2 linked regions of the Neurospora crassa OR74A genome follow. Each later gene encodes a partner of the first gene's protein in a complex. Each region holds a gene or a part of one and is shown on either strand. Other genes may lie near its edges. The genes, in order: ace-4 and NCU00050. A codon is read from its position in the direction of its gene.

Region 1 (4,378 bases):
CGCGCGGCCTGTGACTGCTGACTTGCCGACCGAAACAGTGGAAGTTGACAGCAAGCCTTCAATTGAAGAGTGGGTCCATCAAGACCCTGATGGCTGCAGTGAGTGTCGCGGGCACGGACCATTCCCGACCCTTCCACTTCCCTTCCTCTTCCATCAGGTACCTACACGTACCTACGTACCTCTCACTTTATCTCCGTACGTATCAATCTATCTGCCAGCCGCTTTGCCTGCCGGAACTGCAGCCGTGGATACTCTTTTTGACGCATGGGTCAGTAATTGGTCTGTTCATTGGTAGCCCGCCGCCGGCGTCAGCTTTTGAAGAATCCGATGATAGCCATTCAATCCCGTCTTCCATTGTAGATATGGATCCCATCTCTTTTGCGTATCAGTTGTCTTTGGACATATTGGACACCGGTGATCCATGACACGGCGTATTTCACATCCATCGGAGGGAAGCCAAACTGTAACTTGTGTTACTACCATAGGCTTGGAGTCTTGATGGTATGAATACCTCGTGGGAAGTTTAATCAATAACCAAGTCGTGTGCCTTTTCAGCTTCTACAACACGATCTCAGGGCAACTCGGATACGAAGCTCTTCAGAGGTTGGGAATATGACTGATGACGAGAGACCGTTGTTAGCTGCTCCTGATTGCTTGTACATACGAAAACTGAAATGTCATCACCAGTCCAATTTTGTCATTATATGCCATTCTGCAGCATCTCTCATGGATCGGGTCCCTTAGTTTGACATCACTGACACTGCAGAGTCCAATCCTCTTGGAGTTGACGGTTTCCATCGCAATCAAATCCTCCGATCGGCCCGCAGAACGTAATCCGTACCTTAGCGCGAACTGTTATGGATCCGTGCAGCTGCCAGTCCGATGTCCCTGTCAGCACTTCATCTCTCTCGAGGTTGTTCATCGGAGAACTGTTGAAGTCCGCATCTCACTTTGGTCCATAAGGTTACTTGATATTCAGGTCTTCATAACTCGCAAATACAGATAGCACCTCCATGCGCGCTGCTCATACATATAGATATTCAAACAAGATATCACTGCTCCAAAGCTAGGTTAGCTTGACAATTCCAGTTCGTGATTGCAACCTCTCTTATCAAGTAATCAATCATCCATCTGCCCCCATTAGGCTTAGCGTCATTTACTCCCCGTTGCGCGACCGGGGGATTCTCAAAGCTTGGCCTCCTGCTGTCTTTGGGCACCGGGCAGCTGCGAGGCCGTGCTAGCCCTGAAATAGCCTGGCCTTGGCTCGGCGGGGGCTCTGCTTACGCTGGAACTGCTGGGGGGAGCTTCCCCCAACTGTTGGGAGAAATCGCAGGGGGGCAGAGAGCAAGGAGCTGAGGGGACACAAGGCGGGCAGTGAGTGTGGTGAGTGTGGTTGGTGACGGGAAGTGAGAAAGTGTGATGCCACCGCCGCAGTGGAGAGAGAGGGAAAAAAAAAAAAAAAAAAAAAGTTCACGAGTGTCGCCGATTGAAGTCCGGCTCCGTATCCCGCCGCTGCCCGCTGTCATCTTCCTGTTGTGCTCTCCACGACGAATCCGTCATTCAGGTCGAATCTCATCTCGCGCAGTCTTCCATCTTTCCAAACCTGCAATCTTCCCGTTCTTTTTCCACTCTTTTTCCGCATCAACCTGACTCGCGCAGTCGACGACTTACACCTCCAGGCTTGGCCCTACTGCGAATCCGCGTCCATCAATCAGACATCCCGGCCTCCCTCCGCACAAGCCAGCTTCTCCAACCCGCGTCCCTCTGCCCCCCTCCCCCCCGGTCGGCCTTTCCCCTCTCCAAGGTCCTGCCGCCGCTGCCACTGCTGCTGAGTGCTGCTCCTCCAGCTTGGTTTGGAATCCCCACATAAACATTCCATACTAGCAAATTGAACACAACCTCCTCTCTCAAAAAAAACACCACCACAACCACCCAACCTTCACATCACACCCTCTCACCATGATCGTCCCCGTCCTCTCAAGGCAGGCTCTCCGCCATGCCAGCGTCGCCCGTGTCGCCCTCCCCAGCCTCACAAGATGGTACGCCTCGTACCCCCCTCACACCGTCGTCAAGATGCCCGCCCTCTCGCCCACCATGACCTCGGGCGGTATTGGCGCATGGCAGAAGAAGCCCGGTGACAAGATCGAGCCCGGTGAGGTGCTCGTCGAGATCGAGACCGACAAGGCCCAGATGGACTTTGAGTTCCAGGAGGAGGGTGTCCTCGCCAAGATCCTCAAGGACTCGGGCGAGAAGGACGTCGCCGTTGGCAACGTAAGTACCTACCTACACTACCTGTCGAGCCACGAGTCATCATACCTGCCAAACACTCCAGCCCTACCTACTCCAACTCCATGACTCCATGCACATCTCCTCCCATCCCGACCCTCTTCCCCACTCGACCCTGAATCCACTCTTCTTCCTTTATGCCTCGTGCGCGCCTCGTGCCCTGTGTCTCGCCTGTCGGGTGATATGTCATGGTGCCGTTGAGCGTCTACACGCCCCGCGTCGCCTTAGCTTGTGCGCGCCTAATGTAGACAGACGACCCATGCTGACCATGCTTCTTCCTCCTTCTCTAGCCCATTGCCATTCTCGTCGAGGAGGGCACCGACGTCAACGCCTTCAAGGACTTCACCCTCAAGGATGCCGGCGGCGAGACCTCCCCCGCTGTCCCCAAGGATGAGCCCAAGAACGAGAGCACCGCCAGCGCTCCGACCCCCGCTCCTACTCCCGCTCCCGAGCCCGAGAACACTAGCTTCACCGGCCGCTTCCAGACTGCCCTCGAGCGCGAGCCCAACGCTCTCCCCGCTGCCAAGAGACTCGCTCGCGAGAAGGGCATCGACCTGCGCAACGTCAAGGGCTCTGGTCCCGGTGGCAAGATCACTGAGGAGGATGTCAAGAAGGCTCTTGCTAGCGCTCCCGCTGCCGGTGCCGCCGCCGCTGCCTACACTGATGTCCCCATCTCTGGCATGCGCAAGACTATTGCCGCCCGCTTGAAGGAGTCTGTCACGGAGAACCCCCACTTCTTCGTTTCCACCAACCTCTCCGTCAGCAAGCTTCTCAAGCTCCGCCAGGCGCTCAACAGCTCTGCTGATGGCCGCTACAAGCTTTCGGTCAACGACTTCCTCATCAAGGCCATGGGTATTGCTTCCAAGCGCGTCCCTACCGTCAACAGCTCGTGGCGCGACGGTGTCATCCGCCAGTTCGAGACCGTCGACGTTTCCGTTGCCGTCGCCACCCCCAACGGCCTCATCACCCCCATTGTCAAGGGTGTCGAGGGCAAGGGTCTCGAGAGCATCTCGGCCGCCGTCAAGGAGCTCGCCAAGAAGGCCCGCGACGGCAAGCTCAAGCCCGAGGAGTACCAGGGTGGCAGCATCTCCATCTCCAACATGGGCATGAACCCCGCCGTCCAGAGCTTCACCGCCATCATCAACCCTCCCCAGGCCGCCATCCTTGCCGTTGGCGCCCCCCAGAAGGTTGCCGTCCCCGTTGAGAACGAGGATGGCACCACCGGTGTCTCTTGGGACGAGCAGATCATCGTCACTGCCAGCTTTGACCACAAGGTTGTCGATGGTGCTGTCGGTGCCGAGTGGATCCGCGAGTTGAAGAAGGTCATTGAGAACCCTCTCGAGCTCCTCCTTTAAACGCGAATAGCACTCTGTTTTGGATGACGTTCAGTGGAGTTATACGGATCGAGCGACTGCAAACTAGATAGCAGTCACTTGGCCCCAAGTTCACGGCAGGCCGGCGCATGAGATTTTATAGAAATGGGCAGGCATTGGAAGGATGGATGAATGGATGGGAGGAAGAGAGGTGATGGAATGACAATGTCAGTCAGTTGGTTGACAAAAAAGCGAGCTGATGCTACAAAAGCTTTTGGGAGGTTCCATTCAGTGTCATGTTTGTGTTCTCTCTCAACCACCATATGTATAATGATTCGATCCCACTTTTTATAAGCAAAAACTTGAGCATGAGGTGTGCGGGAAATACAGGAAATCTTTGTTTCTTTTTCGTTTGTTAGAGTTGAGTTCAGCCCCGGCATCGGTTAGGCAACTTGAGGACTTTTGGATACAGGATTTGGGAATGGCACCCCAATCTGTTTGTCCATTTCTAGCCAAATATGTGGTCGAAGCTGCCATGTTTTGGCAAACCTGCTGCTTGGCTGAGGATACCAATTTTAATTTTGGATATCAGTATTTGGACAGATTCTGCTTTGGCAAAGCGAGGAAAGGTCCTGACCAGGGGGCATCATAAGTGTGATGCCAAGATAATGGGCGGCGGCCGCTGGTGTTGATGAACAACGAGGTGTCAGACTGTCAACTTCCAGACCGACCGCGGCAGACGGCACCAGTTGACTTTCTGCTTATGGCCAAGCGGCCGG
Region 2 (4,377 bases), on another chromosome or scaffold:
GAAAAAGAGAGGCGAGGAGGTAGAAGTAAAAGCGGGGGTGTGATTGGAGATGTAGGAGGCATGAGTATAACCTCATATGAGACGAGTGGATGTATTGGGATATGTGATTGCGGACCAGACCATGTGATGATAGGTGTAGTAGACGTGGTGGGCCTATATAGCAATCATTGGGAATTCATCGTGGGGTGGGAAATGTTCACTCGGCTTATACCAGGAAATGGCTTTAGCGTTCAATCTCCCCTAGGGGTACGAATGCTTTTGGTACACGCCGCAGGTGTTTTCGGACTGAGTGCCCCAATGTGGTTTCAAACAGGATCCATTACCATTCATCCAGTAAGGCTCTTTATGGCTCTTTACGAAGGTCCTGGTGGTATGGACACCTCTACCGTATTGAGATAGTAAGTTCAGATAATTCGAGGCTCGAGTGTCTTTTGTGGGAAAGAATTAATCTGTCAAGTGTCTCTATTTTGAATACATGATGAGTTGATGGATGGTCTCGAACGAGATGAGGCCTACACTATATGCACATAGTGTGGTTCAATCTCAGCCTCCTCCAGAAGGCTCTAGTGGCAGACCTTGAGAGAAATGATTAAAAAAGCTGGTTCTTTCTTCTACGGAGGTCTATCACTTATGTGCCATGAAGTCTTCCAGTGTACTTGGCGGCCAGAAAAACTTATAGCCCAAGATACAATATACCTTACCGCTGTGTGACAGAGGCCTGGCTTATGATGTTGATCAACATCGAGTTCGAACTGAATCATTTTCCTCCCGTACCTCGAGTTTTTGACGGATGACCTGTGAAGATCAGGTCACAGTGTACCTGCTCATGAACAGGAGCTGCATGGCGGTTGGACGTACGAGCTGATCAAATGACCGAAACATGGCCTGGCAAATCCCTCCATACGAGCGGAGAACTTTACCGTCGAGCACAGAGCTCATGGGCTAAAGGCACGCCAACCATAACGCAATCATGTCTCGGTTATTCGAGCGGTTGAAACGCGACTAAAAAATGCCCAGGATGTCCGCACATAAGCGCATGTTGTCCTCCCGAACATTAAGAGTAGAGAACCTAGATCATGAAGCCATAAAAGTGGAAGTCTAGTGCTAACAAGTTACTCCATACAATCCAATACCAACATATGTCAAGCAAGTAAACCCCATGTGCATTATGTGCATTTTATTCCCTCTCTATAAAAGGCAATTGAGGGAGCGCAGGATGAAAAAGAATGAACAGATCATTAAGTTTTTTTTAGGCACGTACAAGCTTGTCAGGCTCCTGTTCCAAAACAAGCTTCATCTTCTGAAGGAAGGCCTGGGCCCTCTTCTCTTCCGACTTGGGTACCTGAAGGCTGAAGACGTTGGGTCCAGAAGTGGTCAATCCGGGGGCGGCGGACTTGCTCTGAGCAGAAGCAGCAACGCGCGTGGAGGGAGCGGCGAGAATATCGATGATATCAGCCTTGCGAGCTGCCCGCTGAGGGGCCACGAAGGAGCCGAACGTGGGAGTATAGGAGCCGCGAGATTCCTTGCGAGTGACCTTGTCAAGACCGAGAACCTGGTTGAAGAGCTCATCGGCAGTAGGCTGGTAGTTTGCGGGAAGGGGTAGCTTCTGGTTGGCGATCTCGGTGGCACGGGTAATGAAGGTTGAAAGAGGGAGGAAGACGCCGATGGTTTTGTGAAGCTTGTTCTGAACATCGATGGCGGCGGACAGAGAAATAGGCGCGGTGACAACAGCTACGGGAGGAGGAGCGGGAGCATCCAGCTTCTTGGACTGAGCCTTCTCGGTAGTGGCCTTGACAGCCTCGGTGCTCTTGGCAACCTTGATGTTGCTAAGGTCGAGGTGCGACTGCTTCTCGAACCTCTCGGAGACGGTGGACGGCGTCTGGGCGTTAATCTTACCAAGGTAAGCAAGAACGTCACCCTTGAGCAGACGGCCGCCGGGGCCGGTTGGGGTGATATCCTTAACGGCAGCGGCGTCAATGCCGTTGACCTTGAGGAGATGGGCGACGGAAGGATAGTGGGGGTATTGCCTCTTCGGAGGCTTGGGAGCCGACTTGGACGAAGCATTCTGAGGAGCGGATTCGGGGACGGCAACGTTAGACTGGTCCGCGGTGGTCGGTGGGGGAGGTGCCGAGGGTGCTGACTCGGCTGGCTTGGACTGTGGGGCTGCGTCGGCTGGGATCTCGAGAGAGCTAATGTCATCTCCTTCCTCCGCAATAACAGCTATCCGGGCGCCGACAGCAACACCCTTGGCGCCATCGTTCTTCATGATCTTGACCATGACACCGTCATCCTGCGCCTCAACGTCCATAGTGGCCTTGTCGGTCTCGATTTCCAACAACACGTCACCGGCAGAGAACTTGTCGCCCTCCTTCACCCTCCAGGTCGCGATATTGCCCTCCGTCATTGTCGGCGACAGAGCGGGCATGGTAAAGTTTTGGGCGGCGAGAGCGGCGGCAGAGGTACGGAAACCTGTTTACATGGCATGTTGCTCCAAGTCAGCAAGTGATGACCTTCTAGGCACCTAAAGCGGGCATCATGTTGACGGGCAGGTGACGGGAGCCGAGAGAACCGACCTCTGACGGAGCGCCCTGCCATTCTGGCAGAGATGCGACAAGCTGCTGTTAGCGAAGCCATGGCGGATGATTATGTGGTGTTGTCGCAACGAAGACGTGAAATGCCTGGTCAACGTGGATATCGCGATAGGGCTATGGTGGTTTCCAGCAAGGAAATCGAGAATGGGGTTCGTGGTTGCTGCTTGCTGGGGATCTCCAATTGAGCCTTATGCTTGACGTATGTCAAACGAGTCAGGTTCAATGCTAAATTCCACCGCGAGGTCGACGGGATGGGCAGCGGGCAGTGGATCTTTTTGTCTTCCTGTCAAGAAGTCTGGCTGCGGACCCGGCGGCGACAGAAAACGGACGGGAACCAACCCAGAAAAAGCTGTCGCCAGCTTGTGGATGCTGATGAGGGTCGATGAGCGACATGTTGGGGAAACGACCGTGGGAAGCTTGGACCACCCTCCAAATCCTCCGATGAACCCCCGCGACCGCCCCATGTCCCCAAACCTCTTTGGGCAACGAACCTCTCTTTTTTTTTTTTTTTTTTTTTTTTGGGCGACGTCTTCACCACACATCACTGGCGTGCAGCACCCGAGCAGCTGTCTCTGCGCAGGACGCGCGCTACAGTCAAAACTGGAGCCAAATTTCAATGGAAGTTGCCCGGGGTTGTCATCATCCTCGCGCTACTGTAGTGTAGAGTCAGCAAGGATTGGGGACATCCATGTCCTCCCCCGTCAGCCCGTCTTCGGGCATGGTGATTAGGGGCATTAGACTGGTCCGTGCATACTCCACTTTCCTTAAGCCGAAGGTATCAAAAGTCACCCGTATAATTACCGTAATTACAGAACATATGGCCGGCATATGGTTGACATATGTCAATATTAACGATTCACATTCACATGCGGGGGCCTCTCACCGGCCCCCTGCACCCCCGGAGCTAACCCTAACCCTAACTAACCCTAACTAACCCTAACTAACCCTAACTAACCCTAACTAACCCTAACTAACCCTAACTAACCCTAATACTAATTGGTAATTTGCAAAGAAGTCGGGTATTGACGGCTGTTCGCGGACGTAATTACAAGCTGGTATGGAGAAGGTACCAAAAGCGACTTGGCACGTGATCAGACCCATATTTTCTAATGCCCCCATTCACCGTCCCCCCCGTCTTCGGCCTCCAAATTCTCCCCTGCAGCCAAGAACCGGTCCCCACCAGCGGAGCTCCATTGCGGACCGAGTTCCTGAGGGGAATCCGCTAAAATATTCGAGACCTGGGAGCGGGGCCGGGTCCGAAGATAACCTGACGAACGGTTTTGTAGTGTACGTACAAGCCCCGAAACGCAACGAAACGGCAGCAGGTGGCCGGGCCGCACCGTGATCCAGTTTCCCTCCCCTCCCCGCCGTCAACTGACAAGGACCCGGACCGGAGCCGCTCGCCCTCAAATCCACATAAACTCCGTTGCCGATCTCCGTCCCCCGGCAGCTACCCCGGCGCCGTACAGAACTACCGCCCGTCATCCAACACAGCACCATGGCTTCCATTTCCAGTAGGCTCAGCAGCCAGTTCGTCCTGCTTGCACACCGCACGGCGCCATGTGCCAGGACTGCATCTCAAGCTTCGGTAACACGTTTCGTCCTGGTCTTCGGTTCCGGTTCCGGCTCCGGCTTCCGCACCGCCCAAACGGCACGCTTCTTTGCCTCCAAGGCTAAGAAGGTAGCAAAGAAGCCGACCTCATCATCCACTGTCATCACTACCGTAACCGCTCCTCCCACTGTGGTCCCCGCCTCATATGCCGAACAGCTAGCGAAGAAGGGCCGG

What was found.
Region 2: the proteins of ace-4 (region 1) and NCU00050 are in contact, whole or in part, in a cryo-EM structure (PDB 8OHS), measured with the Neurospora crassa proteins. Residues at the interface, in XP_962786.1 of Neurospora crassa: Lys263 (codon at 3,051), Lys266 (codon at 3,060), Leu267 (codon at 3,063), Gln269 (codon at 3,069), Ala270 (codon at 3,072), Pro453 (codon at 3,621), Leu454 (codon at 3,624); in XP_956161.2 of Neurospora crassa: Leu323 (codon at 1,564), Gln326 (codon at 1,555), Val327 (codon at 1,552), Leu328 (codon at 1,549), Lys332 (codon at 1,537).

What each region holds. Positions count from the first base shown.
Region 1 is NC_026504.1:431,279-435,656, forward strand, and holds ace-4 (pyruvate dehydrogenase complex), read left to right. Parts: upstream 1-1,447; 5' UTR 1,448-1,959; coding exon 1,960-2,271; intron 2,272-2,576; coding exon 2,577-3,641; 3' UTR 3,642-4,239; downstream 4,240-4,378. UniProt on the Saccharomyces cerevisiae protein: The pyruvate dehydrogenase complex catalyzes the overall conversion of pyruvate to acetyl-CoA and CO(2).
Region 2 is NC_026503.1:2,412,749-2,417,125, forward strand, and holds NCU00050 (pyruvate dehydrogenase X component), read right to left. Parts: upstream 2,979-4,377; 5' UTR 2,635-2,978; coding exon 2,574-2,634; intron 2,470-2,573; coding exon 1,250-2,469; 3' UTR 463-1,249; downstream 1-462. Other genes in the region: NCU00051 (hypothetical protein), read left to right, coding at 4,090-4,377. UniProt on the Saccharomyces cerevisiae protein: Required for anchoring dihydrolipoamide dehydrogenase (E3) to the dihydrolipoamide transacetylase (E2) core of the pyruvate dehydrogenase complexes of eukaryotes. This specific binding is essential for a functional PDH complex.